Linked DNA regions of Arabidopsis thaliana. The protein of the gene in region 4 interacts with the protein of the main gene of each other region in a pairwise test. Each region holds a gene or a part of one and is shown on either strand. Other genes may lie near its edges.

Region 1 (8,254 bases), on a different chromosome or scaffold from region 4:
AATTTTCAAAAGAAACACTAAATATTTGTTTACAGGTTCACTGACCAAAATGCTCAAGTTACCCAAAAAAGAAGAGGAATCTAGAAGGTTGTCCAACAATCGTTGACCGATAAAAGGATTAGATCAGACTTTTTTCTTAAAGCTCCTTTTTCAAAATTCTCTCTTCTCCTCTCATTGTTTCTTGCTGAAGATGAACTATTCTATTTGTTGTCTCTTCCACGTCAAAACCATGAGTAAAGACCATAATACCTTTGATTCGCTACTGATGTAGACTCTATGTTGGCAATCGGTCAAGGGCCATTTAGTATATTCACTATTAAAACTTACCAAAACTAGATATCCCCTCGATGCATGATGGCTTCCTCCTTGTGCTGTCTTGTTCCAACTTTCAACACTCGACAATGGTTGTTAAGACTATTACACACACTGACACAAGCTCACACACAAACGCATGCACACAATATATATACATATGTTTTGTGTGTGTCTTAAATGTTGAAAGTGATTAGATACGAGATAAAGCCAACTAAAGCATCCTACGACGTCAGAGACACATGGCGTCGATAGTGATGCTCCTTAGAGCACTGATGAGTTGCCGTCTTACGCCTAAAGACGAGCCGGAGACATCGGATTCTTCTTCGTCTGCTGCGAAACTTTACAGAAATATCGTCGGAGACGAAAACGTGACAAGGAAGAGAATTTCAGTGGTTGATACATCGCATCTTGGCGATAATCACGAGTTTATTATCGAAACTACGTGTGGAAGCAACGATATGGATGAAGGGTTTTACTGGATCATCGTCAGGAATCACTTGATGTGAATTTTATAAAGCGTTTAAGTATAATTAAGTAATGTAAGTCCTTGGTCCTTGCATGATTTGTTTTTCTTAGGATCAACCATGCAGCATTCTGGACTACTAAATTTCTATCAAGATAAATCATGTGTTGTGACAATTTGAACCAATAATCAGTGGTTAACTGTCAAAAAAATAAATTTAGTCATATTTTCGTTTTGTCGTTTTTTAATTTTTGTTAGTGAATTTTGTCGTAAATAAAACGAACCAAAGAAAATATGAACTGATTCGAGTCAGTCTACGCTCTTTTCGAGTATCAAAATTAAGAACTTTTCCTTGGAATGATTTTTTTTTTTTGTTGGTTTTTAAAACGTTATATCAAATAATTCACATATATCAATATCACAAATCAGTGAATCACAAATATCCTCGTCTGATGATCAAATCTTAATTTAATCAGGGGATTAAAACAAGAGAGGAAAAGAAAAGATAATAATTAAGTCAAGATTCGTATACCAAGGCCGTATCTAAAATTGGCATCACGCACGAATGAATATTACACCAAACGTGACGCAATTGAATTCCTCGTTACGTATAGTAATCGTATATTTCCTTAATTATACGAATACGATGTCGTATCGGGGCAGAACTGGTCCTGCAAGAACCAAAAACTCTCCTCGTCAGTCCACATGTTGTCCCCACCAACACAGCCCCAATCGTTGAACTCTCCGAAACCCGTTTGACCCGACGGATCATAACCTGACCCGTTCACCACCCCACCTCGAACGTCCGAAAACGTCTCAGCCGGAGAATTCGAAGACGTTGCTGACAATTCCGTAGCCGGTACGAATTGCTGATGATGATTCTGGCTGAATTGAACGAAACCCGGCTCGACCGGACTCGGTTCGTTAACTGGTTGACTTGGGTCGGTGATCATTGACTCCACTTGTTCACACGTGGTGGGTAATGATTGGGCGTTGATTCGTTCCACTAATCTCGGCATCCAAACATTTCTCATAGTCTCCTTGAAAAGATTACTGTTAACATCGCATCTTAGGTGTTTGGCTTGCTTTTGGACTCGAGTTCTCCAATAATTCTTTATTTCATTATCTGTTCTTCCCGGTAGATATTGCGCAATCTTCGACCACCTTATATATTCAATTGAAAAAAAAGACATATATTAATAACATACTTAACTAGTAACATATAGAATAGCAAAATATTAACATTTGAGATATATAGTGTGTACCTATTGCCCCAAAGAGAATGGAGTTTGAGGATCATAAATTGTTCTTCGAGAGTGATGTTGCCTCTTCTAACATCTGGACGTAAGTAATTAAGCCATCTTAATCTACAACTCTTACCAGTTCGCTTTAGCCCTGCACATATATGAGTAAAATATATATAAGTTTATCTATATATAAAGCCTTTGTGTATATGTATATTTAGAGATTGATGTTTTGATGATACCAGAGGAACGAGCGATGTGGTTCCAACGAGCATCGCCATGGATAGAGACGAAGTTGACTAGGATTGCATCTTCTTCCTCGGTCCATGGACCTTTCCGTACATCAGAATCTTCTTCATGTGTTGGAGAGTTTGAGTTTATTCGCTCGTAATCTTCCATTTCTTATAAAGAAACTTTAAATGAGGAAAGGAAAAGAGATAGAGAGAAAGAAGATGAGATGGTGTGAATGGTTTTGTGGATTAGATTTGAAGTGATTAAGCAATGTGCGATATTTATATATATATAGTGAAGGAACATAAGAATCAAATAATTTTAAAAGTAGTATTTTATAAAAAGGATATTTGAAAATGAGTAGAATGTTGAAGAGTGACTGGAACACGGCATAAGTGTTATGTTCAATTTTTATTTTTTTATTCTGTTTCTAAAGTGGAATTTTGCAACTATATAGTAAATTATGCTAAACATAATTAGCTCTCCATTTGGTCAATTGTTTGTGTAATTTTAAAATACTAAGGTTTGACCCTTTGACTTGTTCAGATGTATAGTAACACGCACTCTTGCTTTTTCTTTCTTTGGTAAGAGAGTTCTATTTCATAAAGTTTCTATATTTATTACCACACAGTATCGCAGACGTAAGTTATTGTACATCCTTAGTCTTGTTCAAAATTACTCTGGTTAGTGATTACTATGGGCGAAATTAATGATTTATTAATCACTTCTTGTTGTGTGCAATCACGATTTAATATTCGTCGTTTGCTTTGAAATTAGCTAACATTAAGAAACTACTACATGCTACTCGGTAAGCATAATAATACTTAAATACTATTACTAAATGGAAATTAGTTTCCAATACGGATTCGTTTCTAAGTATATGGAGTCTAAAATAATTCTTAATTCCCAATTTTGAATGTAGCTAAATAACATAGGACTATTGACATTTAAGGCAAAGTCAAATGAGAAATGGAGTTAGGCGAGTTTAGGGACTTTGCTTTTGAAATTTTAGCACATTTTGTTTTCGATTGAAGAGTAGTCAAAGAGACGTCTTTCCTCTGTCAATCACTATGACTTCTATGCATATATTTACAGAAATATACTAAACTTTTGTGAGTTTTATCAAACAAAATTTTATCGTACGTTGGGATTAATAATTAAGAAACACTATCAAAGTTATTAAAAACAATAATATACTTTCAATAGTTGCCGGTAGAGAAAGTACTTTTGTTTTTAATGAGAATCCACGATGAAGTAAAGAGAGACCGTAGTATACTTTCAATAATCGTTCCATTACTACTTCGATTATTGATACACATTCTGAAAGTCGAATGCCTATAATATTGATGATAACTTTTATAATATATGTTGTACATTTTGTTAATGCATCATTACTTTTAAGTAACGTTCTACGACATTTTATCAAAATGTGTAACAAGAAAATATTTTAATTGATTCGTATTACAAAACATATAAATTATAATTCGATCAGGGAAATCAAATTTAATTATTACATTATATTGTTTAATTCATCAATGATCATATATTCATATGTAACTAAAGTAAGAATATATAAGCACTATAAACATATATTGGGTTAAAAATTTAACATACTAACAAAAACAGATTAGCAAATACAATCAGATGCCTACATGTCATAGCGATCCACTCCGTCGAAAAAGGGAGGTCGAAAACATATATAAAACTATTAAAGTAAAGGAGTTTAAGTAATGCAAGTAAACACAGGATTTTTGTTACACAACGACACTTAAATAGTAGCCTCCATAGTTCTAGGGGAAAGCAACACTCCCGATTAACTGTATGTACCTGAGAACCGAATCAGATCTCGATGTCTTTATGAGACACTTGTCTGCTTCTTATAACTTTCAACTGTGGACAAATAGACACCCAAGTGATGACGTGTCATTTGATTCGAATATAGGTTAGATTTCGCGTTGTACCAGTATCTTATACTTTTAGTGAAGAAAACAAATGTTATTTGTAACACCCGATTCAGTGAATTGTTACATCGATTAGATATGTGATATAGACGACAACCCAAATAAGCTAGTTTTTTTTTTTTTTTTTTTTTTTTTTAACTGAAAGATTTTCATTATATAATACATGGGTGAAATACAGTTTTGGAATGCGTTTTCGTACAACATAGCCGGCAGAAAATAAAGAAATCCCCGAAAACAAAAGCCCGATACATGGGACCACAAGAAAATATACTAAAATCAAGAAGATAAGCTCATGAGATCAACATGAAAGTCGGAGGAGAGCAAAACTCGCGGAAATAAGAGCTCGAAGATCGCGGACTAGAGAATCTTTAACCACAAACAGAGTAGAGCAAAGGATAGATGAACCCGCGAAGACAAATCCCAACTAAAAACGATTATCCCGAACACAGTAAACAACGACGCGAATCTAAATTCTAACCACCTAGTCATCTAACGAACAAGTCTAAATCTAGAACTTTGCATCCCCACTAGAGGTTAGCCTTATAAGAACAGAAAAGTAACAAACCACGAGAGAAAATACCATTTTCTATTGACATGAAATAAGACCGGTCTTTTGTGTCAATTATATTGATTTATGAGTTGAAGGAATATTTCACTGTTTTTTTCTACTGCTAAATTGCATATTACTCAAGAACAATCTTAAAGCCTGTTTGATAAGACAAGAAATTAAAACTGCTTGGCGAGAATAGGAAATCAAGTTTGATGCCAAAACGTGTACTATCCTATATATACGATCGTCTCACCGGACAAGTAGATCTATAGTTTTAAAAAGGAAAGCACAAAAAGAAAGAGATAAATAATCAACAAAAAGATGAAAAATCAACATAAAAAGACGTTTGCGATCTATCAAAATCAGCAGAACTACCAAAAGTAGAACCCACAATCTCGTCTTTTTAACTTACACGCTCAAAATTCTGTCATATTCATACGCAAAGGCTCTCTTTTTTGTCATCTGGTTATGTCTAATTCCGATTTGATGCGACATAACACATAAAGCCTCCAACAAAAAATCTCTATAAGGTCAATCGCAAAATCTTAGTAAACAGTTTAAATCAAATATTATAGGGCAATAGATAAGACTCTCTAAAAAGGAAGATGGCTAATGAATATTAAATCATCTTGTATTTATATCCCTTATTGACCGATCCGTATTTAGGTCATGAGGTCGTGTTTACATCGCCTTCAGCAAATGAATCTTTTTTCTAGATTCTCTTTATTTTTATGTTTTATTAACACGTTCATTTTTATTCACAACTTTGATCGTAAAATGCATGATAATAGATAACAAACTCGTAATATATCGAGGAGAGTAAGCAGTATCTATAAATATTTAGTTGTGTGCATGGCGTTAAAAGGATGACGTATAGATGATGACGCAGAGGAGATTCCTCTGAAGAGAGTTCGAACTTTAAACTTTAATAAAACAAAGCATGTGGTACAAAACTCGAAAGGCATGATGAGACCATAGGACGTCCATGTTTTAGCATCTATATATCATTTTTCCGTCAACCCACCTATAGAGAAGTATACATAAAATTAAATGTATGGTTTAATAATTTGGAGATCCATTTTCTGGTTGATGTTCAATGTATCAAATAGTCTTTGATAAAGCATCTGATATATTTGATATTCCCTCTAAAGAAACATCACATAATCAAACTTCAAACTCAAAAGAACTCCACATCAATATTTTTGTTTTGATTAATGGTTAGAAAGTAATGACTCAGTCAATTCAGAATCCTGAAACGTATAAACCAATATTGAGTTCGAACTTCCAATTCTTACGTTGTATACATTTTGGTGTATAAAAAATGAAAGGAATGCATTTTCAGCCTTTAAATTTATGCATAGAATATAATAATAAGTTTCTAACTAAAGGTCAAATCATTTAATTGTATTTAACATTTTTGACACAACTATTTTATCTTGCAAGAAATAAATATGTAAACTGGAAAAGTAGTTGAGAAAACAAAATAGTTATTTTTATGCCATGAGAAGGATGTGTGTAAAATAAGTTAGAAAATGCTCTAAGAAAAGAGAAACATAAAAGGATTTTTAAGAAGTCTTACAGTTGACAATATGAAAACTTTAGTAAAAGTCTACCATAAACCGTAAAAAAAATGAAATTTTAATTCTGGAAGTAAATGTAATGCATGTTGCCTAAACTCGGACACTATGTGGTAGATTTTGATTGGTCGGAATATATGATCTCCGAAAAGCAACAATGTCAAAGCTGCGTGAAGAAAAAATAAGCTAGAAAGTAAATTATATACATGTACAATAATGGAAACATATGAATAATATTAAGGAGCCAAAATCAAAAATGACCGGCGATGATTAAGGTAATAAAAGTCAAAGCTCAACACAACCGACGCTTTTGGCAGGAAATTCGAAGACATATGGTAAGAGTCCCACTTTCTCATTATTAATCTCTTTTCTTTGTCAAAATTTGCAACACAAAACACGTTTAGAGTCAATGTCAACATCAGGATTCAGCAGTATGGTATACGGTTTGAAGAGAAGCGAGAGGTAAGTGTCTGTGTAGCAAATGCTTGAATCTGCTTCTTGGCATCTACAAACTACAAAGTATCAAAAACATATGAATAATCATATAATAAAATATTAATTGCACCATGCCATCATTGGCTTGAGACTCAAGCCTTGAGTGTTAGAATCATAAATAGTTTTGTTACCTTTTTGGCATTTGGTGAAATCCAACGGTGTTTGCAAACACTAAGAGTCAAGCAAACTCCAATAACAAAAACATAATGATCCAAGCAGTGCTGTAGAAATAGTTACATAAAAGTTCATACAAAAGTTTCATACTATGGTGACAAATGAAACCTATAGAGACTTAGGCTTTATTGGGCCCAATGTTTGTGAGCTACGAGCCCAAATCAAGTGAAAGATAATGAAACTACAAAAAATGTAATTAAATAAAGCTCTTTGTAGATTTAGCTGGACAAATTTTTTAAAAAATCAATGAAAGTTAAAAAGGACTTGTGGAAAATGTGACGCGAGACATTTCTACCGACATCTGAGAAGAAGTGACTGTATATCCAATAAGGAAAGAGAAAGGAATTGGATCTTCGATGGAGCCCACGAGTGTTCACTACGCACCATGGAATTGGTTCATATGGCCCATTAAGAGATTAATGGGCCCAAATCAGATGGCGCGTGTATCTCACGGTGATTCTTCACCCAGGTAAATTGCTAATGCGGTGTCTATGTTGTCAAATCTGTCGTTCTCAATGAGAAATCTCCATTTTTCACGTGGTTAATTTTCCTGTTTATAATTTTTTTTTTTTTTTTAAAGTAGTATCACAATAATTAATTGGAAATGAAGGGCATGGAATTGAAGTTATCTAACTTCCTTTTAAATTTTCAGAAACTGCAATTTTATTTAGATTCAATAATCTTTTAAAATTAGGTTGTAATTATTAGTGCCTCATCAGTAGTTAGAAAAGTAACAAGAATTGAAATTTTCGACTTTTAAAAGTGTTTCTCTTTAGTGGTTATGGAAAATGAGATCTTTGTAGATAGAGATTACTCCTTCTGATAATTCTTCAATACAGTGTTATCTACACTGTTTCTTTCCCGTATGGTTTCAGTATCTTGTTAAAATACATTAGCAAATGACTTTAATAAATTAGCAAAAATAAGTATGACTTAGAAAAAAAAAGGTGTGTATTAAACTAAAATGCAAGAAAGAGGACTAGGGAAGTGTACAATGCACCTCGTAGCAGGGAATAACATGTTCTGATTTCCCACAAAACACCGTAGCTAGCTAGCTGCTTCTAGCGTTTTCTCCGTATAACCGTTTGGTTTAAATTTCTCCGGTACGGTCCCACTTTCCAGAACTTTCACGGTTTCACCAAACGCCAATCACCACCGTCTGTTCTCCTACTTACACGTGTACGTATCAGATTTCACGATCGTAACCCATCCAAGCGCCTATATTAACCCTGTTTATCCCGCTA
Region 2 (7,514 bases), on a different chromosome or scaffold from region 4:
TCAATCTCAAATCCTATGTTGGGAATATGGTAGCTCTTGAGTCTTGACTTCTTCCCTGTAGGTTGTGGTTCTTCAAAACTTCAAATGGTATGATTTCGTACTTAAACTTCATAAGCTGTACAACGGGACTCATCTTTCGGTTAACAATGTGACTTCAAGAAGGTAATATTTTTCTTTGGCTTCTTCTCATTTTGTCCTTTAAACGACCTTAGCACTAGAAAAGTCACCACCTTTATGCTACCTCTCTTGTAGTGTACAAAGCATCGAAGTTGAAGAGATTACAGACAGTGGAAGTATCTATGTGCAGTCAGATGGAGAACATCTTGGATTCCTACCTAGAAAGTTTCAGGTGTTACCCGGTGCCATAGACATAATCAGCTGATCAAAACCGCAGATTTCTTAGGATAAACTTGTCAAGTAAAGTGTAGAATACTTCAACTTTATATTCTTCCTGTAATATGATTCATTGTTTAGCGAATCAGATTTATGCTCGTGTTACTTGTGTAACTCGTTACTATCACTATTTATTGTGTGGTCTCTGTTAACCACAAATAGATACTTTAAAACATTTTAAAGCAAAAAGTCGCATCTCCTAAATCAATCAATCACACAAAATTGAATCCTAAAAATGGTAGCTTCTCTTTCCTTTCATTCCATCGCCACCGTTAATCCAATCTTCTCCGGCGATGGTGGTCGTTCAATCTTCCGGACTAATCGCCGATTCGAAGCAACTGGAGTGAGTTGCCGAGGACAGAATCCTACTGACGAGCCACAGACAAGTAAAGGACCCGAGCCGGATAATGTTCTACTCAAAATCGCTTGGTACGGATCTGAGCTACTCGGAATAGCTGCTTCTGTTTTCCGATCTCCGGAGACTTCTCCGATTGTGACAGGCTTTGAGGTTCCTGTTGATTGTTCTGGTCGAGCCGTTCGTGTAGCTGTCGTGGACTCGATTAAACAAGACTTTAAACGATCCTACTTCGTCACAGGTCAGTGTAAAATCATCCAATCTGAATTCTGTTTCTTTTGTCTAAATCGAAATCTCTGAGTTTTCAGGTAATTTGACGCCGGAGGTTTATGAGGAGAAGTGTGAATTCGCTGATCCGGCTGGATCCTTCAAGGGTCTTGCTCGTTTCAAAAGGAATTGCACTAATTTCGGAAGCCTTATCGAGAAATCCAATATGAAGCTCATGAAATGGGAGAATTTTGAGGTACGGTCAACTACTAAAAGATGTCGGAGTAAAAGTTTCGTTTTTTGTTTCTCACCAGAGCTCCATCATGAGTTTTGCAGGATAAAGGAATTGGACATTGGAAATTTAGCTGTGTCATGTCGTTTCCATGGAAACCCATTCTTTCAGGTATTTATTTTATCAAGGAAACCTTAAAAGTTTTCAGATTTTTGTAGCCTTTTTAGGATAAAGTTTGCAACTTTAATAGCTTCAATGATTAGTAATGAAGACAAAAAGAACAAAACTTTTACTATGTCTTTTTATGGAAATCTGTTTTTACAGCAACTGGTTACACGGAGTATTATTTCGACACAGAATCCGGGAAAATTTGCAGGTAAAAAGATTACTTATGAGCTCATTAATATAAACCCCACTAATCTCTTTTCAACTTTGAAATCTTTTGTGAAGAAGAAGAAGCTGGTTAAACATATTTTGATGAATGTTGGCTTGCAGGCACGTGGAGCATTGGAATGTCCCTAAGATTGCTCTGTTCAAACAACTTCTGAGACCCAGCCGTGGTTTAGTGGGGACACAAAACTAGCGCAGATGAAGAATGATGTCAATTTCAAATTAGATTTTTTTAACCGTAAATATATGAAACTTGCTTCTGAAACTAATATGGGATACTCTGCTCTTAGAGATCTGTAATGAATCTATTCAAGATGACACATATAAACATACTATCACTGTCGCATTAAAACAAAGGTCCATTCTTCTCGGTTGGACAAGCAACAGAGAAACCATGCTTGAACCTCTTCAACCTTGCACCGTCTCAAGTTTTAACCGTACTCTATGAATTTGCATTCTCTTGAAAAAAATGATAATTCTCTAGTGTCTTAAGTACAATTGACAATATATCTCAAGCTTTTGGATACAATTGTCACTTTGAAGGCTCCATGTTCTCAGCTGCTAAAGCTGCTGCAGAAGCAGCCTTGTCAAAACCAAGCTTCTGCAACTCGGTTAAGAACCCATCGAGCTCACTTGCTGTGATCTTGTAAGGACTGTGAGAAGGACCTGGAAACACTTTTTTAGAGACTTCTTCTTTGTATTCCATTAGGGCTTTGTTAATCACTTCTCCGACATTAGCGTACTGCTTGCAAAACTTTGGAGTAACCTGTGAAATATAAGAGCATGAAACAAGAAGCATGTTGATAACGAACGAACGAACAAGAGAATGCGTTTCGAAAACAATAATTGTGTCAGGATTTTACCTTGGCATGATGTGGATGTTGCATCATACCAAGAAGATCATGGTAAACTAGCACCTGCATTTCCAAGAAAACAATTAACAGGTATGAGAAATGCAAATTTGTCTCTTGGCTACACACAAAACCGGAAAGAACGAAACTTTTCAAATAAAACCTGTCCACTGCAGAAAGGTCCAGCCCCAATGCCAATGGTTGGTATCTTGAGGGCAGAAGTTGCAGCAGCAGCTACAGGAGGTGGAACGCATTCCAAAACAACCGAAAAACATCCAGCTTCTTGTAAAGCCATTGCAGTCTCAACAACTTTAACAGCACTAGCTATGTTTCTGCCTTGGGGTCTGAAACCACCAAGAACGCTAATCGCCTGAGGGGTTAGACCCACATGACCAATAACCGCAATTCCTGCTTCAACTATAGCTTTTGCAGCAGTGATCCTAGAAGCTGATCCTCCTTCGAGCTTAATCGCATCCATTCCTCCTTCCTTCAAAACCCTAACCGCAGTATCAACCGCCTGAAGCCAACATTTAAACCCAAAATCAGGTCCCTAATTTGTTTCATTGACACAAAATCTTGTAAAGAATCTACTTTGCATAAGCAAGTACTAAAGCTAAATCTGTGATTACACAGGCAATGACACATTGACACATAATGTATCATTTAAGACTTTTTTTATCAAGAATCCAATCACCTAAACATTTGATCAGGAAATGAATTGAACATTGTAAGTCCCACTGAGTGTTGTGATTAATTCAGGTATTGAAATTGCAATCAAGAATCTAATTACCTACACAAAAATTAAGCAGAAGAACATGCCTTATCAACAAATATGTTTAATTTAGGTATCTAGAAGAAAAAAAGATTCAATTTTATAACATTACCTGACTAGAGCTTGACTCGTAGGTACCAAATGGCAAGTCACCAACTAGGAGAGGTCGTTTAGCGCCTCGAGCAACGGCACGACAATGAACAAGCATCTCGTCTAAGGAGATAGGAAGTGTTGTGTCGTGACCATGAACAACCATGGAAGCTGAGTCACCGACAAGACAAACATCGATACCAGCTGTGTCTAAATGAACGGCGGATGGGTAATCGTAGGCAGTTACGACGGTGATCGGTTCTCCTCTCCGGTGTTTTTGTCTGAGATGCGTTAGCGTCACTCTTTGGTTTGGGTTTTGTGGCTTTGGTCCTCCGTAGACGGTGTTTTCCGGTAGGTTACTCATGAAACGGACAGAGATGGCTTTTGAGAAGCGAGAGCAATTCCTAGTGAGTGAGGACGCCATTGTTGTGAAGATGAAGAAACCCTCTTATCTGTGACTGTGTCTGTGTTTACAAGAACAAGGAATTTTACTTTTAAGAAGATTCAATTCCTAGTGAGTGAGGACGCTGTTTAGATTCTGGCAAGTGGCGATTCAGTTCTGGGTTTCACACACAAATCAAGCATAGCAATGACACTGTTAGGAATTGTGATAGCTTAACTATAAATTCAATATTTTAACGAAATCAACAAGATCCGTTGTAGTCTAGCTGGTCAGGATACTCGGCTCTCACCCGAGAGACCCGGGTTCGAGTCCCGGCAACGGAGATAGTTTTAAAATATCTTTACTATATTAAACCGGATTTTGGTTCAGTCTGGTTATGTTAACCCAGTCTCTGTTTCTCTCTAGGCTCTAGCCTAACCCAGTCTCTGTTTCGATCTTATTGAACTTCTGTTCCAAAGGCGATTCCTTTTTTATTTTTCCGTTTCTGGGTTTAGATAGAGAAATGTAGAGATTGAGATCGCGGTTACTAGTTGGAACTCTCTTGGAGTTGGAGAGCATCCGAGGGTTCTGCACGAGCTCCTTTAAGATCGTAGCTTCGGTTCTTTTTTATGAGATTGCGCATTGTGATACCAAAACCGGATTCTACTGTTTACAGTTTCCAGGAGTTCAAGTAAAGACCAAACCATGTCTCTGTTTTTTAAGTCACACACGTGTGAGATGACGTGAAGGAATTTTTTGTTGTTGTTGGTCTGAAGTAGTTGAATGTAGTTGGCTTCTAAACCTTTTTATATATCTCTTCAATATAAATCACACGAAGAATTCTAACACACAATTCGTTGATTCATCATATCTCCTCTTCATTAATGAATGGCCTCGTCGACTCTTCTCGAGATAAGAAGATGAAAAATCCGCGATTTTCGTTTCGCACAAAGAGTGATGCAGATATTCTCGATGATGGTTATCGATGGAGAAAGTACGGTCAGAAATCCGTCAAGAACAGCTTGTATCCCAGGTAAACTTTTTAACATAAATAATCTGAAATTGTTTTTAAAAAGATTGTTTTTTTGTGTGTTTCTTCTCACTTATGATCATCAAAAGGAGCTATTATAGATGCACACAACACATGTGTAACGTGAAGAAGCAAGTTCAGAGGCTGTCGAAGGAGACGAGCATTGTGGAGACAACTTATGAAGGAATCCATAACCATCCTTGTGAGGAGCTCATGCAAACCCTAACTCCTCTTCTTCATCAATTGCAGTTCCTCTCTAAGTTCACCTAATTATGTTTGTATATATATTAACGTTCTAAGAGCATCTCCAATGGAAGTATCTCAATGAGATACCTAACAAAAGAAAAAAAATTAAAAAAAAAATATGAGAGAAGGGAGAAAAAGTAGGAGAGAAGGAGAGTTAAATTTCTCGGATGATTGGACAGGTGTAATCACACTATTAGTTCAACTATTAAATAATAATTAATGTATCTGTTTTGATTAAAATATTAATTAATATGTTTTTGAGAAACTTTCTTTATTTTTACTGGTGGAGATGGTCTAATGTTCCATGGTTCATATAACGGAGCAAATTAAAGCATTGTAATCATATATGTTTGCATGTTCATAGTTGCAATCTCGTTTTGATTATAAATCAGTTTTAAGCATATAACCAAAATAAAAAAACAAATCAATTGTAATATTCCGGTAAAACGATTACCACGTGATGATTATAGAGAGGCATAGAGCAATATCGTCTGGTAAACTGAATAAAACCGGATTTGGTTTCCATAGATTTTTCTCAAGCCAAATCAGTTTCCTTTCGTTTGAATAAACCTATTGGCTTATCGTGAGTGATTATTGTTTTGTTTATTTACACGATGAACAATGTCAATGAGACATGTCACATGTACGAAGTCAGTTCCGATATATTACATGAATTGCTTTCAAGTTTTGATCAGCATCCTTAAATAGTCACCGAAAATAAGAAGCGAACAAGTCTTGGCGAAGTTGAAGCCACAAAGTGTACTAATAAATATGGATTGCCGAATTAAAAGAAGAAACAAAAAAACTACATTTTCATATTTTTTTTCTTCTTCCATATATAAATCCACTTTTCAACTTAAGCAAATGCAATCAATGGGAAGGTAAGTATGTATACCTCTAAATCTCAAATAATCTTTAAAATTATAAAATATATATGTTTTGACTAATTTTAGGAAGATAAAATAATCTCTTATATTTTCATCTTCTTGGGATTATTTACCAAAAATTAATGTTTAGAAAGTAGTACTACTCAACATGTAGTTGTTAAATATCTTTAAAGTTTAAGTTTTGATAATGTTAAAATCTATTAAAAATAATTGGTCATAATAGTAAAACAACTAATAATTAATTTTTTAGGATATTGCTTAAAAGTTAAAACATATTGCTAATTTAAAAGTCATAATATACAAAATATAATTGTAGTATATTCTATAATAAACATGTTTCATCTTTTTTTCGGACGAGCAAAGAAGTAAGAACGCACGTTATGACCATGATGCTCTAAAAAAAGGATCTTATTCCTTTTCTAATGATGGAAAAATTATTATATTATTCCTTTTCCAACAACCAAAGAAAAATCAAAAATGTCACGCTCCGGCAATTAAGGTATTTATCATCCTTAAAAGAGGTACCAAAATATATAGAACCGACAGCGCCATAAACTTTAGAAAAGAGAGAGAGAGACAAAGAGAGATCTGATCCTTTGAAGAAACAACACCAAAAAAAAAAAAAAAAGAATGGCATCAGCGGATGAAAAGGTGGTGGAAGAGAAGGCTTCGGTGATTTCAAGCTTGTTGGACAAAGCCAAAGGTTTCTTTGCGGAGAAGCTGGCGAATATTCCGACGCCGGAAGCAACCGTGGACGACGTTGATTTCAAAGGCGTGACACGTGATGGAGTAGATTATCACGCCAAGGTCTCCGTCAAGAATCCTTACTCTCAATCCATCCCTATCTGCCAGATCTCTTACATCCTCAAGAGTGCCACAAGGTCATCTTCTCTTTTTTTTCTTCTTGTACCGTCTGATCTACTCTAACACCGTATTGTGCACTTTTTATTACACACATATCATGATAGTATCCGTATTCCGGATCTAGCCTAAGATAAATAGAATTTGTGACACATATTTTGATCATCTAAATTTTGAGAATATGAAAAATATATATGTGATATTTTTCGTTAAGTGTATCCGATCTTTGTACTAATGAATAGAAATGTGTATCAATTAGGTATATCCGATCTAATGTTTGACTATTTTTAATTGATAACAGTATTTAATATATATGTGTATGGATTTCGTTGGTAATTTGTCTGGTCTCATCACCGAAATGGCTAGATCTCATTTTCTCACTAATTGTATTTTTATCGCATTGTGCCGCATTATATATACATACATATACTAATTTCATTATCCATGTGCATTGATGATATCTAGCATCTTATATCAATCCTAATGTATATATTTACACAAGTCTACTGTATACATAATATGACATTACTAATAACACGTGTTATCAAGGAAACAAAGGCACAAAGCTATATAGATGGTCTCAGCTTTTGTATTTTGAGGATTTAAGCTTAGATAACATTTTCATAACAGTACTTTTTATGTAACGTTATGCACACGCCATGTATAGGTGTAACGTACATTCATCATGTGCTGATTAATAATGTTTGTGGCATGCGTAGGACGATCGCGTCAGGCACGATACCGGACCCGGGTTCGTTGGTTGGGAGCGGCACGACGGTTCTGGACGTACCGGTTAAGGTGGCTTATAGCATAGCGGT
Region 3 (7,414 bases), on a different chromosome or scaffold from region 4:
CGGTGTTGTGGTTGGATCTACTGTGCAAGCCACTATACTGGCTATTGTCACAGCTTCCATAAATTGGAAGGAACAGGTAAATAGCCATTTCAGCTTTTTACACTTGTAAATTCTTTTATGTTCATTCATTAATGCTATGAAGTAATCTATGATTTTGCAGGCTGAGAAGGCAAGGAAGAGAATTGTCTCAACTGAAAACAGATTGGCTTAAACAAATGATGTTTCTCATAGTTATCTCAAACTATTTGTATGCCTTATGCAAATTTTTTTTGAAAGATGTTTATAAAAGAGGGTCATTTGTTTTCTTAATCAATTTTATGACAAGGATTTATAAGTTTTCTTCAATTTTGGTATACAAATGTAATAATTACAAGTGAACAAAAACCTCATTGGTTCCAAACGGGGATGATCCCTTGTGCAGCAAGACGCTTCTCGACCCAAAACACAACGTGGTTCGCAGTTGGTTTCCTCTCGTCGACAAGAAATGGTTCCACGGTGCTCGGACCTGACCCGTGTGAGGAAATTGAAAATCCTTTTGCTCCTGTTTTAAGCAACAAACCAAAAGACATAATGTTCCATTGAAATTTTCTGTAACAAGAGTCTCAAGTAAAAGATTCAATACTTCACCTGTAAGGTTTCCAGTAGGGAAAAAGGCCCAAAAGGAATATGGAATACTTTTCTTTAAGAAAAAACCTTCCAACTGACACAAATAATGATAATTGTCTTAGAAGTTTAATCAAGAAGACATTTTGAGAACATCCAATAAAACTGGAGCCATATAGGGTAGAGAGATGGCCCCATAAGCATGGCAACAAAGCATTAGAAGTTAGAAGCAAGAAACCTTATCGTCTTGGAAAGATAAATCTATGTCAGAGATATCATCTTGAGATTCAAGAATGGCTTGTAAAGGAGGAATCACGTCTTCTTCCATCATTTGTCTCAGCGGTTTCGCCACTGCAGCCGCTTTAGCTGCGGGTTTAGGTTTCTTTGCCGGAACCGCCACTGTTGACTCTTCTCCTTCTTCTTTGTTTTTCTTTTCAGTAGCAACTAGGAAGAGAACAAGAAAGTTACTCTTCTCGAATTTTTGAGCCAAACATTCTGTTTTATGCATCAATCTTTACCAGCAGAAGTTGAAGACTCTTGCAAGGCACACCGCAAAAGGTTGTCCTTTCTAGTACCTGATTGCTGCAAGAAGACGAATCATAAAGATTCAATTCAAATGAGATACAAACTCCATGAAAATTGAAGACATTACAAACCAATGTTAGTGGTGGAAGCAAAGAAGAGGAAGAGAGAGTTGGTGTTGTTATAGAGATACGAGAGCTTGGGACTCCAAATGATCCTCCTGCTATTGTTGCCATAATTAGGAAGAAACAGAAACTGTAATTGAGCTTCTTCAACGATTACAAGATTCGTTGTTCTCAAAATTCTCAGTTTTTCTCCATTTTTTGCCTCAAACTCAAGACTAATGTTTTTTAGTGGACCAAAAGCAAAGGAAAAAAGAAGAGGAAATAAAACAAGAGACAAATGTGAAAAAGGCTGAGCCTAAGATTTGCCAACCACACACACAAAAAAGAGATATAGCATATTTTTATACCTACAAATAAAATTAAAAACACTTGCACTTCCCATTATAGTTATGTTTACTATCGTATGTAAACTTTAGTAATAATATGTTTACGTTGATCTTCCCATTGTAGAAGCACAAGAATAGAAGAAAGAAAGAGTTAAGTGTCGTTAGCTTAATTGGTAAAGACTCTAGGCAAAACTAATATTACGGATTTCGGCCCAGAACCAAAAAAAAAAAATATATATATAGAAGAAGGAAAAAAAATTGTCAATAGATTAGAAGCATGGACTAAATTGACATTTCATAAACTATCAGATAAAATGAATAATATTTTGTAAATTCAGATTAGTACTCCGCAAATAAATTTGATTGAGAACTTCTAACGTGCCCGACTGGAGTAAAATAAGATTCCAAATGACACTGGAGTTTTAGCCAAATTTCAATCACGTGGCGAAATCTTGTTCGTTCTTAAACTGCCAGTTAGAGATGCAAAAAGAATCAAAGTTTAGGGAGTAAACTGTAAATACTTCCTTTTCAAGTAAGTATTTGATGATAATGGCTCCCTGATTAGAAATGTCTCATTATTTTAGACCATTATCACTAAGCAGTAAGCACTATAAGTCTATAATCGCAGAAGATAGATAAAATGGAAGTAGGGTTTTCTATGGGTTTGGGAATCATGGGAAAGTCCATGTCAATGAATATATTGAAGAACGGATTCAAAGTCACTGTATAGAACAGAACACTCTCCAAGGTATAAAAACCAAAATTTTCTGCTTTTGATTGTGTTAATAGATTACGTTTTGTCTGATAAAGTTGGACACTTTGAGTAATACTAATTATCTTCAAACTCTCTTGGAAAACTATTGTTGTTGTTCTTGTTAGATTTCAGTTCACAAACAAGCTGTCGGAGATCAGAAGCTTCTTCTTTGAGTTTAGAGTTCTCCTTCAATACACAATTTTGAGTCTCCGATACGCGGTTCAGCTTATCGATAAGACAGTTGTTCTCGTTGCGAAGCCTTATTACCTGAGACCAGAGTTCATCAAGATGTCTCTGTTTCCTCATCCTTGACCTCCTTGCAGATTCTCTGTTCGAAAGCATCCTTCTCTGTTTCCTCTCGTCGAGTACCATGATGCTTTGATGATGATCTTCGTCGGAAGTTGAGTTGTTGCTTATCATGAGATCTTGACTGTTGGATGATGAGGAATAGTTGTTGTTGTTGATGATCAAATCGTTTAGGTAGTTTAAGGAAGAGGTTGGAGATGAAGGCATGTTTATTACGTTGTATTCCGGTGATAGATATTGGAAATATCCGTTGATTTCTGCCGGAATCATGGTTTTAGTTTGGTTTATATGAGTATGTAAGAGTTTCTGTGTTTTTATTTTGTGTGAAGAATTGGGAAGTTAGTTTTGAAGTAAGAGGAGGAAGTGGACCAAGGGTTTTATAATGGGGTTGTAGGAGAATCATGTAGAAGTGGGTCCTATGGATTATAAGAGCATAGAATAAGAAGAAAAAATGCGATGCTATAATTCGTAATTTATAGTGGTGGAACATGGACAAAGAAATGGAAAGAGTTTAGTCATAACAAAAATATTGTTAGTGTTTTATATATAACTTGTTCATTGGAAGTGAGAGCAGAAACTGCGAGAAGGTTTTTAAAATTTTGGTTTTTTTATATAATTTAAACCCAATAATAGTTAACTTGAGTTGTTTATTTTTGTAACCTAGATTTATACACGTAAACCCTTTTTTATTTTAATTTATGGTAAATTATATTAAAAAAAAATATTTATACAATGTTTAATACGCAGTAAAAAAAAATACAATGTTTAATACAAAATTTTCATATCTTTTAGTTTAAATCTATCCTTAGCATTTGTCTTGTCGCAACCAAGTTTGGATGCTTCCCTTCCCTAGAATGAACTTATAGAGAGAGAGAGAGAGTGATGCGGCTAAACTTTAATTAAAAGATTGGATACGTTTGAGCGCCAAGTTCGATCCATTATATGCATTTAACTTAAAAGATTCGACATGTCTATTGTTTAAAATATAACTAACTAAAGTAATTAAGTACTGACTTGTCCCTCATTCGTTTTCCTTTATAAGTGATCATTAAATAAGAACCCACACTCTACATCGTGGAGAAATATGTGTAGAAATTTTAGTTTGTTAATTTATATCATAAATTATAATTATAATATATTTTATTTAATAAGTTTATTTTGTAATTTTATATATTTAATTTATTATATCATATTTCAATGTAATTTTGCAATCGAATTAATAAATTTGACAATAATTCATCCAATGTTAAAATCGTTGATATCTAGAGAGTGAGACATGTTGATACGCAGAGAAATTCATCAATTCATAGAAACTAATCATAGCAAATTTAGAGGATTAACCGAAAACATGATATATTATGTTTAATTATGATATTAATAAAAATATTTGTATTAATGATTAAGAAGTATTTATGAATATTAATTATGGTTAAAAAACGTAATTTGATGTTTGTTGCGTTATCCCATTCTACATAGGATCTCGTTTGTTTCAATATTTTGGAAAATATAATAATGAATTTGAATATATAAAAGATATGATTTTTGTCATAGTATTTTTCGTTGTGAGTTTTGTTGCATTTAGTGTCCAAGTGAGTCTTTTGAATTTTAGAAGTCTTAGTGTCTTTATGTGTATTATGTTATTTTTTATGTCTTTTACACTACAATGGACATTCTTATCACGAGAAAAATGCTATAATATGTCTTTAATAACTTTTTCATGAACGCTATTTTAGGGCATTGTTATTATAGGTACCTCACATACAGTAGCGTGAGTTCAGTATGCTATGTTATAGTTTAATAACATAGCTATAAAGAACAGTTGTATTATCACGTTTAATTTTCTTAAAAAAATTATATAATATTTGATTTTTCGTGCTATGTTATATATCTCTAATATAGCTGTTGCGAAATGTTGTTTTATCGTGGTTTGCCTTTTTTCAATTGGAAAATAATTAGTCAAATTATGTGCTATGTTATGTTCTTATATCAATTTATAAGCTACGATAGATGATTAAAACATAGCATTAGTCATATGTTAAATATTCTATTACCTGTATTCTTATAGCATTTTCTGAGATGTGATTATAGTACACATAACACATAACCTGCTTTATAAAATCTCATACATTGACCATTGATTAAACATAAGTTTAGATCCAAAATACATAAGAAAAGTCTCAAGCACAAAATAAAGCAATACAGGAGCTAAGTGCATATGTTCTCTTTCCTTGTGTGGTAGGATGCAAAGCGTGTCGTAGACCAAGATGTTGCAGATCCTTACGTGCATTAAGACCATCCTTAGATTTTCCACAATGCAACAATGTGGATACAATACTGTGAGCCACGTTCTTTTCTGTATGCATTACATCCAAATTATGCCTTACTAGTAGATCCTACAATATAGACATACATATATTTTAGAAGTAATTGATGTATCATACTTAAACATATAAAAGCTATTTAAATCTGAAAACAAGTAATCATACCTCCCAATAAGGCAAAGTAAAGAAGATTGATCTTTTCTTCCATCTAGATAACTCATCCTCATCTACTTCTACTTCCTCATCTTCCTCGGATTCACTGGATACATCATCACTATCATAGACTGGTTCTTTATAGACAGTTCTCTTTCTCTTCATCCCAGATTTTTTCACATTTCCAAAATCATTCTTGAAGTTTTTCAGATTTTGATAAACTTCATGACCAGTTAAAATTCTTGTCTTTCTCCTATGTTCAACTTTTCCATCAAACCAAGTCTTCTTTTCCCTATATCTGTGTGTTGGAACCAAACCTTTTCTATGACACATATAGACATGCTTCCTGCTAAACTTCAACCACATACTATCTGTATTTTTTCCACACAAAAGAGAGCCCATTTTTCCCTTAACTTTACATCCAGCAAGGTTTCCATACGCAGGAAAATCACTAATAGTCCATAGAAGCATTGCCTTTACAGTAAAAGTACTTTTACTAAAAGCATCATATGTTAGCTCTCCATTTTTCCACAGATAATTCAAATCCTTAATAACAGGTTCTAAGTAGACATCGATATTATTACCTGGTTGTTGTGGACCAGGAATCAATAATGTCAACATTATATTCTCCTTTTTCATACAAAGGTGAGGAGGCAAATTGTAGTTTACCAATAGCACATGCCAGCAACTATAATTACTATTCTTCATGTTAAATGGGTTAAATCCATCTGTAGACAACCCCAGCCTAATGTTCCTTTCTTCAGCTGCAAATGAAGGATACTTATCATTCATCTTATCCCATGTAACTAAATCAACCGGATGACGAAGTTTTCCATCCGTGCTCTTGTTAGTGAAATGCCACCGTAAGTCCTTGGCCATTTCCTCTGATCTAAACAATCTCTTCAGCCTTTGTATAATTGGAAAATATCTCAATACTTTCTGTGGGACACCTTTTTTTACCTCACCAATGTGCTGATTAGTCTTCCACCGTGAAGCATTACATTTGGGACATTTTTCAAGCTTCTTAAACTTCTTTCTAAAGAGGCAACAATCATTAACACATGCGTGGATCTTTTCATATCCCATATGAAAGCTCTTTAAAAAATTCTTGACATCATACAATGATGTGTGAAGGACATTATCATCTGGCAACATGCTTGGCAATGTATGAAGCAGCTCGTTGAAGCTCTTATTCGACTAGCCATTATGTGTCTTAATCCTAAACAAAGTCACAATAGCCGATAACTTGCTGTGGTTTGAACAGTTTGGGTATAGTGGGGTTTCAGCGTCCAATATCTTTGCAAGGAACTCATCTTCTCGTTGGTCTTCACACTCTGCAATCTCACTTAAGTCACCCACCAGATTCTCACCTAAGTCACCTCTACAAGCCAACTCTTCATCAAAAAATTCAGCAGCTTTATATAACTCAAAAACTTCCTCATTCCACTGATTTAGTTTGCTTTGAACTTTATCCACTGACTTCTCATCTCCATGATGATACCAATCACTATGCAACTTGTATGCCTCATCCATCCCTCTTCTAACAAGATGATCAACTACAACACAGTCAGACTATCGTACTACATTACGACAGTCTTTACAAGGACATATTATCATGTCCATTTCTCCTAACACCGCAGCAACATCCCGTACAAATTTCCAAGCACCTCTTTCATAGCCAGTATCAGCTCTTCAATGGATAAGTAAAGAAAAAAATAGAAACTCTAAGTATCCAAACCCCATATGAAACCTAACTATAATTATAATTTCTTACTTGTTTAGATGAACCCATGCCTTGTCCAACATTATATGTTATAATATAAATTTAAACATTTATAGATAAAACAGAGATACAAATTATACAATTTTCCAATCATACTCCACAATAAGCAACAATTCAGACAATTCCATGTAAATATTCAAATCATAAGCAACTTTAAAAGAGTTTTTCATATTAGAAATCAGTCAATAGTGCACCAAATCAGGCACATACAGATGCTCATAAACTAATCTCACGATAACTTAAGATAATTAAGCAAGTATACTAATCTCATCACATAAACAACAACATTAACAAGCTATATACGAATCAGACTCAAAGGACAGAACATTGCAATCAACTAATTTGGTTGAATGATACTAACCTGTTGTGTGAGTACAGAGAAATGAGAAGCTTCAGTTCCCCAACATTGCAATCACCAGCACTTGGAAAAAAAAAACTCATTCATTATAAGTTTACACATGAATCATTACAGATTGAAACATGAATCGTTTATGCAACAAATATGTAACCAAATCAGTACC
Region 4 (8,975 bases):
TGTGAACCTTCTAAGGTCAGTGACAGTGATCACAGAGATCTGAATATATCTCCAAGTAATTTCAGTGATAGTGTTTCTGGAAGTAGTACGCTTGGTGGTTATATTTACTGGAGATGTACTTGTTAATGTTAGCTGTGTTGATGTCTAAAAAGTATTTTTGATCATTTGTGGCAGCTAATCTTCAATGAAGCGCTTCAGAAAGGAACTATGGAAGGATTTTTCAGGTTGATTTCGTATTTTCAGACACAATCCGAACCTGCGTATTGTGGTTTGGCTAGTCTCTCAGTGGTGTTGAATGCTCTTTCTATCGATCCTGGACGTAAATGGAAAGGTATGCAAGATTGAAGCAAATTATGTCCACACTAAATAAATGATGGTTTTTTATAAAAAGTTTTCCTCTCTTCCAATAGGGCCTTGGAGGTGGTTTGATGAATCAATGTTGGATTGCTGCGAACCTCTGGAAGTAGTGAAGGAAAAAGGCATTTCATTTGGAAAAGTTGTCTGTTTGGCTCATTGTTCAGGAGCAAAAGTTGAGGCTTTCCGTACAAGTCAGAGCACCATTGATGATTTCCGCAAATTTGTCGTCAAATGCACGAGTTCTGAGAATTGTCATATGATCTCAACATATCACCGAGGTGTATTTAAGCAGGTAAAGCATAACTTTGTACACACTGTTTTGCTAAGGCTCAGTCATATTTTCAAGTTTTAAAACGTCTGGTGGCTATAATTGCAGACTGGGACTGGTCACTTTTCACCTATTGGTGGCTATAATGCTGAGAGAGATATGGCTTTGATTCTTGATGTTGCTCGTTTCAAGTATCCCCCTCACTGGGTTCCTCTTAAACTTCTTTGGGAAGCCATGGACAGTATTGATCAGTCAACAGGGAAACGTAGAGGGTACATAATCTTTTCTTATCTTTCGCTTAGGTTCTTACTGTATCATGGATGTAATATTTCTATATAATATGGTCTGATTTTTTTCTGTGTTGTTCTCAGGTTCATGCTCATATCTAGACCACACAGAGAACCCGGATTGCTCTATACTCTGGTATGTTCGATGCAATATAGGTTCTCTTTAAGTTTGCTAATATCTTTTTCTTCAATTTTGCTATTCTATTAATGCAATTTTCTCACTCACAATCTCTTCCACATGTATTGAATGAACTTGAGATCCTTATGAGCATTTTGGTAAGACAAAACTTGTGGATTGGTGATAATTTTGCTTTTATATATCTATACCAGAGCTGCAAGGATGAAAGCTGGATCGAAATAGCCAAGTATTTGAAGGAAGATGTTCCTCGTCTTGTAAGTTCACAGCATGTAGATTCTGTGGAGAAAATCATATCAGTTGTGTTCAAGTCACTTCCATCAAATTTCAACCAATTCATCAGATGGGTGGCTGAGATCCGAATTACAGAGGACTCAAACCAAAATCTCAGCGCAGAGGAGAAGTCTAGGCTGAAACTAAAGGTATCTTCAGGATAATTTTTCATAGAAACCTAAAGCTGCATGGAAACTGTTCTGTTGGTTTATGTGACACATGATTTTAATCATAACTTTAATCTACCGCAGCAATTGGTGCTGAAGGAAGTGCACGAAACTGAACTGTTCAAACACATCAATAAGTTCTTATCCACAGTGGGTTATGAAGACAGTCTGACTTATGCTGCTGCAAAGGCTTGTTGCCAAGGAGCTGAAATCTTATCCGGAAGCCCATCAAAAGAGTTTTGTTGTCGGGAAACTTGCGTGAAATGCATCAAAGGTATGTCGCCATGTCGATTCTTCAAATTTCTTATCATAGTTAAAAGTTTTGGTGTTAGATCAACTGTTAATTTTTTGTTTCCTATTAAGGTCCTGATGACTCTGAAGGCACGGTGGTGACTGGAGTTGTGGTGCGTGATGGGAATGAACAAAAGGTTGATCTGTTAGTGCCATCGACGCAAACTGAGTGTGAATGTGGTCCTGAAGCAACTTATCCAGCAGGAAACGATGTGTTCACTGCACTTCTATTGGCTTTACCTCCACAGACATGGTCAGGGATCAAAGACCAAGCTCTTATGCATGAAATGAAGCAGCTCATTTCCATGGCTTCCCTCCCAACTTTGCTTCAAGAAGAGGTAACGCTTTTACCAATTCTATTTATCGGTAATCATCAAGAGTCACGGTTCTCTCTCTAGTGGAAAATGGGATCTTTGTACTTGAGATATATAAGTCTTTTGGAAAAGAAACAAATAACTTAATCTAAGTTGAGATTGACAATGACTATTTTCGAGTTCATCCTTAGATATAGCTAAATCAAATGCCGAATCTAAATGAGTACTTGGTGAAATGAATCTGTGAAGCAGATGAGTAACGTGGTGAATTTGGTGTAAATGCAGGTATTGCATCTTCGACGGCAACTTCAGCTGCTAAAACGATGCCAAGAGAACAAGGAAGAGGATGATCTCGCTGCTCCTGCCTATTAGTTCATTGTCCCAAATCCTCTCTCTTCCCCATTTGAATCCCACGTTCTCAACACTTAATTGTTAGAAAGTCTCTTTATTCTCTGTACGATTCAAACTCTATTTGCAATGAGAGATATATGTAACTTGCATTCTATAAATTGTTAATCACAATAAGTTAAGAATCCTAGAATCATATTTCATCACACTCAAATGCAGATTATGAATCCACTATCCACAAATAAGTACCAAAGGCTTACATTCAAAACAACAGTATCCCTTAGTCCCAACTGTGTACACTGTTTTGCTAAGGATCATTCGTATTAGACAGTCAAATTTTGAATCCGGATTCTAACAGATCCTATTGCAGACTGGATCTGGTCACTTTTTCACCGATCAGTGGCTATAAATACTGACAGAGATATGGTTTTGATTCTTAGAAAATCTCTTTATTCTATGTATGATTCAGAGAGATTTTCAAATCTCATTCTCCTACTTAAATGTTCATTGTGGCCATCAATATCTTCACTTGACTTGATTATCTAATCTCTGGTCACAGCGAGATGCAGTGACACAAGTGCATGGAACTGTAACTGTTGGAGCACGTCAGAAAGTTCTTAACTTCAGGAGCTCTTATCTTATCTGGAAGCTCATCGAAAGACTTCTATTGTCGAGATAGTTCTGTTAAATGCATTGATGCCTGGGGTTGAGGAAGCTAAAGTGACAGCAGGGATGGTAGTTAATACCAATAATGAACAAGAGGTTGGCCTATTGGTGCCGTCAACCCAATCTGTCACCAAAGGTTCTGAGTATGGTCCAGAAGCAAAGTACATAGCAGGAAACGATGTCATCACTGCACTTCTGTTCGCTTTACCTCCACAGACATGGATAAGGACCAAAATCCAGATCTTTCAGAACAAAATGAAGAATCTCGTTTCCATTGGTACCCTCTTCACTATGATCAGCCTAAATAAGATCAATCTCAGCAAAACCAATAACATATGCAATCTAATATAATATATAAGTTATTAACCATAATCATTACACTCTACTGCAGATTATGAATCAACTCTCACACACACATACACAAAGTAAGTAACATTAAGACCCTAAAATCCTCAAAAGTCTATACCTCTTATCACCATTCCAAAGACCGAATCCTGCGTAAAAACCGTGGTGGCTGCTGCTTCGGTTTCTCAACAACAGGAATCACAAACTCCATCAACTTCTGGTATCTCTCTTTCCTCTTATCTTCAATCTCCTTAGAAAGCAACTCATTCTCTTCCTCAAGCTTCGCAGCCAAAGCTTCTAACTCAACTTGATAAGCTTGTTTCCTCTCTCTAGACCTAGCTGCAGATTCACGATTCTTAATCATCCTTCTCTGTCTCTGTGCAGCTGCTTTATCCAATGGCTCAACCATCACTCTCGCTCTCTTCCCTCTAGCTCCTCCTCCGTAAACATCTAAACCATTCCCAAACGCAACTATTGATCCTTCTACTTTATCAATCATCTGAAACGGATTATGCGGCGGTGCAGAATGATCGAATCCGTAATTCGTCACCGGAATCTTCACATCCAAATCCTCCGCCGACGCCGTCACCGCTGTTTCGTCTTCCACCGCAGCTTTCGCTAGAAAATCCTCTAACGTCATTATCTCTTCCGACGTCTCTTCCTTCATCCCTTTACCTTCTCCTGATACCATCTCTCTCCAAATCTCATCAACACTCTTCCCACCACGCGTCGTCTCCGTTCCTCCGCCGTGATCCACAACATCAGAAGCCGTCGTTGTTGTTATCTCCATTGGTGCTGGAGAAGCATCCATCAGATTTATCGACGCATCTAAGAGTGAAGATTCCGTTGGTGCTGGTGGATCTGATGCGAAAGTATCGTGTAAAATCCCTTCGACCGTCATCGAATTTGAACTGTATAATCCGTCGTTTCTTCCGCCGTAACCGACACTTGTTAGATCTCGCCGGAACTGTTGTTGAGGTCTTATAGACGAAGAAGAAGTAGAAGCAGAAGAGATGCGACGAGATAGATCCGAGTTTCTCGAATTTGAAGAACGCATCACCTGAAACGACGTCATTTCTGGAGAAGATGATGAACAAGTTCCGTTTGTTTCGTCCTCTTTCGCCGGAATCGGATCAGAGAATCACTCTGTTTCTTTGACTCCGCCAAATGTTGAACTTTACAGAAGCAGAGATTAGGGCTTTTTGTGTCGAATTGAGAACCTTTGAGAACTTTTGGTAATTTATCCCAAATTGTAATTAATTGACTTTTATTACTTTTTTAAAATACCACGCGCATATGTGGCACGTGAGTTTTAATTTTTAGACTTACCAAAGAAAAGAGCTGATTTTGGTAAATTGGATAAGGTTAAAATCAAAATGGATAAGATTTTCTAACTTTTGGAGCGCGTGGGAAGTTTTGTCGCGTGTCATCAAACTGTAGTTGTCAAACTTGCATCAATTATTTCAAGATCATTAATGTATTATAACTTGACTATTATTACTTGAATTTAGTTAAGGTAATTTAATGACGTTATTTTAACTCGATGGTAGTTGTTTTTAGAGAATATTACACTGTAAGATATTTTTTAAAAAACATTTTTATGGTTAGACACTTTTTAAAGATAAAGCATTTTGAATAGATGATTTGACTCATTTATCGTCTAATCACATATCGTTTTATCTCTCTCCTTCTCTTATTTATTCTCTCTTTTTCTTTTACTTTATCGAGAAATAAACAAAAATCAAGCCAAAAAATAGATTTCTTCCTTTTTCCTTCTTCCATCTTCAACAAATCATCCGCTTTTATGAGAAAGAGAGATTGAAATTCAGCTTTTTAAATTTTCCACATCTGCTTTGATCTGACTTGAAGGAGAATTTTTTCAAACCATCAATTTGAGAATCTGCCCGATCTGGCTGATTTAGTTACATGACTCGTTGAATAATTGAATTGGATTTGCGGTTTGGTTTTTGTTTTATGTTTTTGTTATTTGTTGCAAAATTAATCTGATTACTTGCTCTTTAATTCTTTGTCTTTCTTCTCCAATTTCATATTCGAGATTATTCTCTTAAATTGGAGATTAAAGCCTCGCAGTGGACTTCGAATTATTTGATAGCAATTGTCGAATCACTAATTGATGGAACTCGTTGCTTAGTCCATGTTCTGTGAATTTGATTCATGATTATATTTGAGTTGTATATATTCAGAAAATCTGGTTATCTTATGTGTTCATCATAAACGGTTTATAAGTTTTTTGATGGTTGATTCACTTATTGAAGAACCTTGTTGCTAGTTCTGGTTCTGTGAAATTGATGGAGATTTTAGCTTAGATCTGAGACTAATTTTCATTCACAGATGTTAGACTGATTTCTACGTTTGTGTTTAAGATATAGATGTTAAAAATTTGGAGCAAAATCGAGAAGATCATCTTAACAGAGTTAAATGAACAGATCTCTGTGGATAACGATTTCTGGACACGTTATTCTTTACTTTTTTATCTCAAAATCCAATCGAGAAGATCACCTTAACAGAGCTAAATGAACAGACCTCTGTGGACAGCGATTTCTGGACACGTTCTTCTTTACCTTTTTATCTCAAAATCCAATCGAGAAAATCATCTTAACAGAGTTAAATGGACATACCTATGTGGACAACGACTTCTGGACACGTTTTTCCCTTGAATTTGTGATCATTTATGTTATATCTTGAGATGTTCTGTATATAAAATCAAACTTGGACTTGTATTTTAAAACCTTAAAATCCAATCGAGAAGATCATCTTAACAGAGTTAAATGAACAAACCTCTGTGGACAGCGATTTCTGGACACGTACTTCTTTACTCTTTTATCTCAGTTTACTTGAACTTATCTCTAAGTTTTTTGCTATCAAATTCTATGGCTTTTGAAAAGGAATGACCCTGTTCTTTTTGTAATCGATACGTCAGCGATCGGCGACTGATTTTTTTTTAACTTACTTGCGTGTAATGTATGTAGAGACTAACAGGGGCGGACGCAAGTGTATGAGTACTGGGGCACGTGCCCCATGCAAGATTTGATAATTTTGAAGTTTGATGTGCAATTTGTATTGGAGATGAAAGAATTCGTTTGTTGTGCCCCATGTTATAGTGATTTTTTTTCTAATCAGTTGGTTATTACTCATTATTTTTACTATTTTCAAGTAATAAATGTTTTCAGTATTTAACTTATTTTTCCAAATTTATCTTTTTCTATAACTCTTTGAAAGAATTATGCTAATACAAGGACACTTCAATTTTTTCTTTTTCCATTTACATGTCTTTTAAAAAATGTTTATATTGTATTTTATTTTTAAAATTTATATGTTAGCTATGTTGTGCCCCAGGTTAATTATGGTTCTAGATCCGCCACTGGAGACTAACATCATCATTCTCATGAAAAGAGTCGCAACGACTATAAAAGTGATCGCCGTTTAGTCTAGTGATGCCGACGATACCAACATCTCATGTAAAAGTGGTCGCAACGACACCCTTACTATTTATTCTCCGTTTTCTTTAGAGAGGCTTCTCCGTAAAGAAAAATACAGAAGCTACACGATCTTGACAAACTCTCAAATGTTTGATTTTGCAAGGAAAGAAAAAAAGTAATAATGAGAAGAGAGAGAAAGAGAGTGAAAAGAAGAAGCGACGAAGAAGAAGAAAAAAAAAGGAACGTGGAAAGATGAAACTTTTTTTTTTTATTATAATTTCTTAATTTTCAGAGATAAATTGGTCAAAAGTTTAATGAAAAAGTTGGAAAAGTGCTTCATCCGTGACAAGTGCCTCAAAAAGAATAAAATTCTTTAAAAATGTCTAAACGTGTCAAATTCCCTTATTTTTAACCGCCATAGAAAGTGAGTTCATGCTTGTTAAAACAAAATGCACGACTTTTTAACACATCTTCCAAAATATCATATTGACAAACAAAGTTTTAATGATTCTTATACAAACAAATAACCAATGTCGGCTCAAACCAATCAAAAACTGATATATAGTATATAATTTGATTTGATATTCTATAGTTTATACGAGAATTGTAGTTGATATCATAGGCACAAATTTGCTAATGAGGAAAAAGCAAAAACAATGATCATGTAAAACAAGTTTCAAGGTTTGTAAATTTCTTCCCACAAAAAAAAGTGTCTTTGTACATAGTTCTTTCGATTTTAAATAAAACCGTTGTTGTTGGTTCCACAAAACACTATAAAGCGGCGTATATAATAATATACATAAGATTGAAAGAGGGTCCAACCTGAGAAACCTAAGCAAGACAAATATTTCATGAAACTAACACAAGCTTACGCATCGGATAAGTCTCTTGGTCGCCAATCTCTAGGTGGAACCGTGGAATGGACTGGCTTTCGTGGTTGTCTGTCTGAAAATTGTTTCCGAGGCTCTTACCACCCAAGAAGATCTGACTTCTCCCTCTTCTTCCCAAGAAACTAGTAAAAAAAGCAACGAAAACGGCTTTTAATACGTTTAATATACCAAAAGATACAAACTTGTAACATTGAGCACATCAATTTTGCTATTTCATACATGCATAAGGAACATGATGCTGACCAGTGTTGAACAAAGTACCTCTTACGAGTCACTAAAATGGAGATTCGAGTGGTTCATCCCAAACATCTGCACTCCCATTCGAGACTTCCTCCACATCTTCCTCCATTGACAACCTCACATACTCTCTCTGAGCAAATCGGTCCCATTCCGTCAATGTTGGATTCTCACGTTCCTGTCAAATGGAAAACAAAGTTGGTTTAGAAGTAGCAGAGACTGGAACAGATACAACCGGCTGCAGTAGTAGGTGACTATCTGAACTTATAATAATTTTTGCGAATTTTTATGGCATTAATAAATATTCAGTAGTAACAGTTTCAACAGCTAAACGAAGGATTGAATAACCAAAGGGAGGAAAACTCTATAGAAAACCTATGTTTACCTGACGAATGAGAAAAGGGTCACGGGTTTCAAACGCCATGAATTTGTTCAGGTTAAAGAGTATATTGAAAATATTTCCAGAAAGTTTGGATGCTTTCAGATCCTGGAGTGTGATGCAGTTCTCCTTCTGAAAGAGTCATTCGACAAATTGATGATGCGAATAAGAGCAAAGGAACAGACAAGCCAGGAATATCAAAAGACCATGTTATGGTTTAAAAGAAATTTTGCCTCTGGTTTAATCATGTCGAATATTTGACATAGGATATCTTCAAAGAGTACAGGTTCCTGGGTTATACATTCCATGCGATGCAGCTGCTCTTCGTAGAAAAACTGCATCTCGTTGGGAGTGATCACCCCATCTCCATCTAGGTCTATGCACTTGAACCTGCAAAGATGGTTTTAATCAATATCAAGGGAAAACGAAAAACAAAAAACTGCCAAGAACCTGTGTTTAACATCGATGGGAGATAGATGAGCATACCAGCGAGGTATGCCCTCATATCAGCGGTTCAACTGAAAATGTTCTAGATTCATGAGATGATGAATGAAAATGTTCTAGGTTCATGAGATGA

Evidence for each region.
Region 1: the proteins of AT5G44080 (region 4) and MYB2 interact in a two-hybrid assay, tested with the Arabidopsis thaliana proteins (one large-scale study listed by BioGRID).
Region 2: the proteins of AT5G44080 (region 4) and WRKY43 interact in a two-hybrid assay, tested with the Arabidopsis thaliana proteins (one large-scale study listed by BioGRID).
Region 3: the proteins of AT5G44080 (region 4) and bZIP48 interact in a two-hybrid assay, tested with the Arabidopsis thaliana proteins (one large-scale study listed by BioGRID).

What each region holds. Positions count from the first base shown.
Region 1 is NC_003071.7:19,370,451-19,378,704, reverse strand, and holds MYB2 (myb domain protein 2), read right to left. Parts: upstream 2,721-8,254; 5' UTR 2,422-2,720; coding exon 2,265-2,421; intron 2,174-2,264; coding exon 2,044-2,173; intron 1,943-2,043; coding exon 1,408-1,942; 3' UTR 1,162-1,407; downstream 1-1,161. Other genes in the region: AT2G47200 (uncharacterized protein), read left to right, coding at 555-821.
Region 2 is NC_003071.7:18,952,698-18,960,211, forward strand, and holds WRKY43 (WRKY DNA-binding protein 43), read left to right. Parts: upstream 1-4,514; 5' UTR 4,515-4,556; coding exon 4,557-4,705; intron 4,706-4,791; coding exon 4,792-4,972; 3' UTR 4,973-5,228; downstream 5,229-7,514. Other genes in the region: LCBK2 (Diacylglycerol kinase family protein), read left to right, coding at 62-162, 253-382; AT2G46100 (Nuclear transport factor 2 (NTF2) family protein), read left to right, coding at 629-989, 1,057-1,211, 1,292-1,358, 1,512-1,563, 1,683-1,770; KPHMT1 (ketopantoate hydroxymethyltransferase 1), read right to left, coding at 2,110-2,343, 2,441-2,494, 2,592-2,945, 3,313-3,714; AT2G46140 (Late embryogenesis abundant protein), read left to right, coding at 6,466-6,716, 7,416-7,514. UniProt on the Arabidopsis thaliana protein: Transcription factor. Interacts specifically with the W box (5'-(T)TGAC[CT]-3'), a frequently occurring elicitor-responsive cis-acting element.
Region 3 is NC_003071.7:1,327,411-1,334,824, reverse strand, and holds bZIP48 (basic leucine-zipper 48), read right to left. Parts: upstream 2,907-7,414; coding exon 2,406-2,906; downstream 1-2,405. Other genes in the region: DTX1 (MATE efflux family protein), read left to right, coding at 1-76, 161-211; AT2G04039 (DUF2996 family protein), read right to left, coding at 368-538, 623-700, 842-1,047, 1,122-1,185, 1,260-1,361; AT2G04137 (phosphogluconate dehydrogenase (decarboxylating), NAD-binding domain protein), read left to right, coding at 2,217-2,300, 2,463-2,642.
Region 4 is NC_003076.8:17,735,208-17,744,182, forward strand, and holds AT5G44080 (Basic-leucine zipper (bZIP) transcription factor family protein), read right to left. Parts: upstream 4,743-8,975; 5' UTR 4,528-4,742; coding exon 3,580-4,527; 3' UTR 2,667-3,579; downstream 1-2,666. Other genes in the region: CAD1 (phytochelatin synthase 1 (PCS1)), read left to right, coding at 175-331, 411-649, 734-897, 997-1,048, 1,243-1,470, 1,573-1,762, 1,852-2,117, 2,379-2,465; AT5G44090 (Calcium-binding EF-hand family protein), read right to left, coding at 8,057-8,197, 8,405-8,530, 8,632-8,788.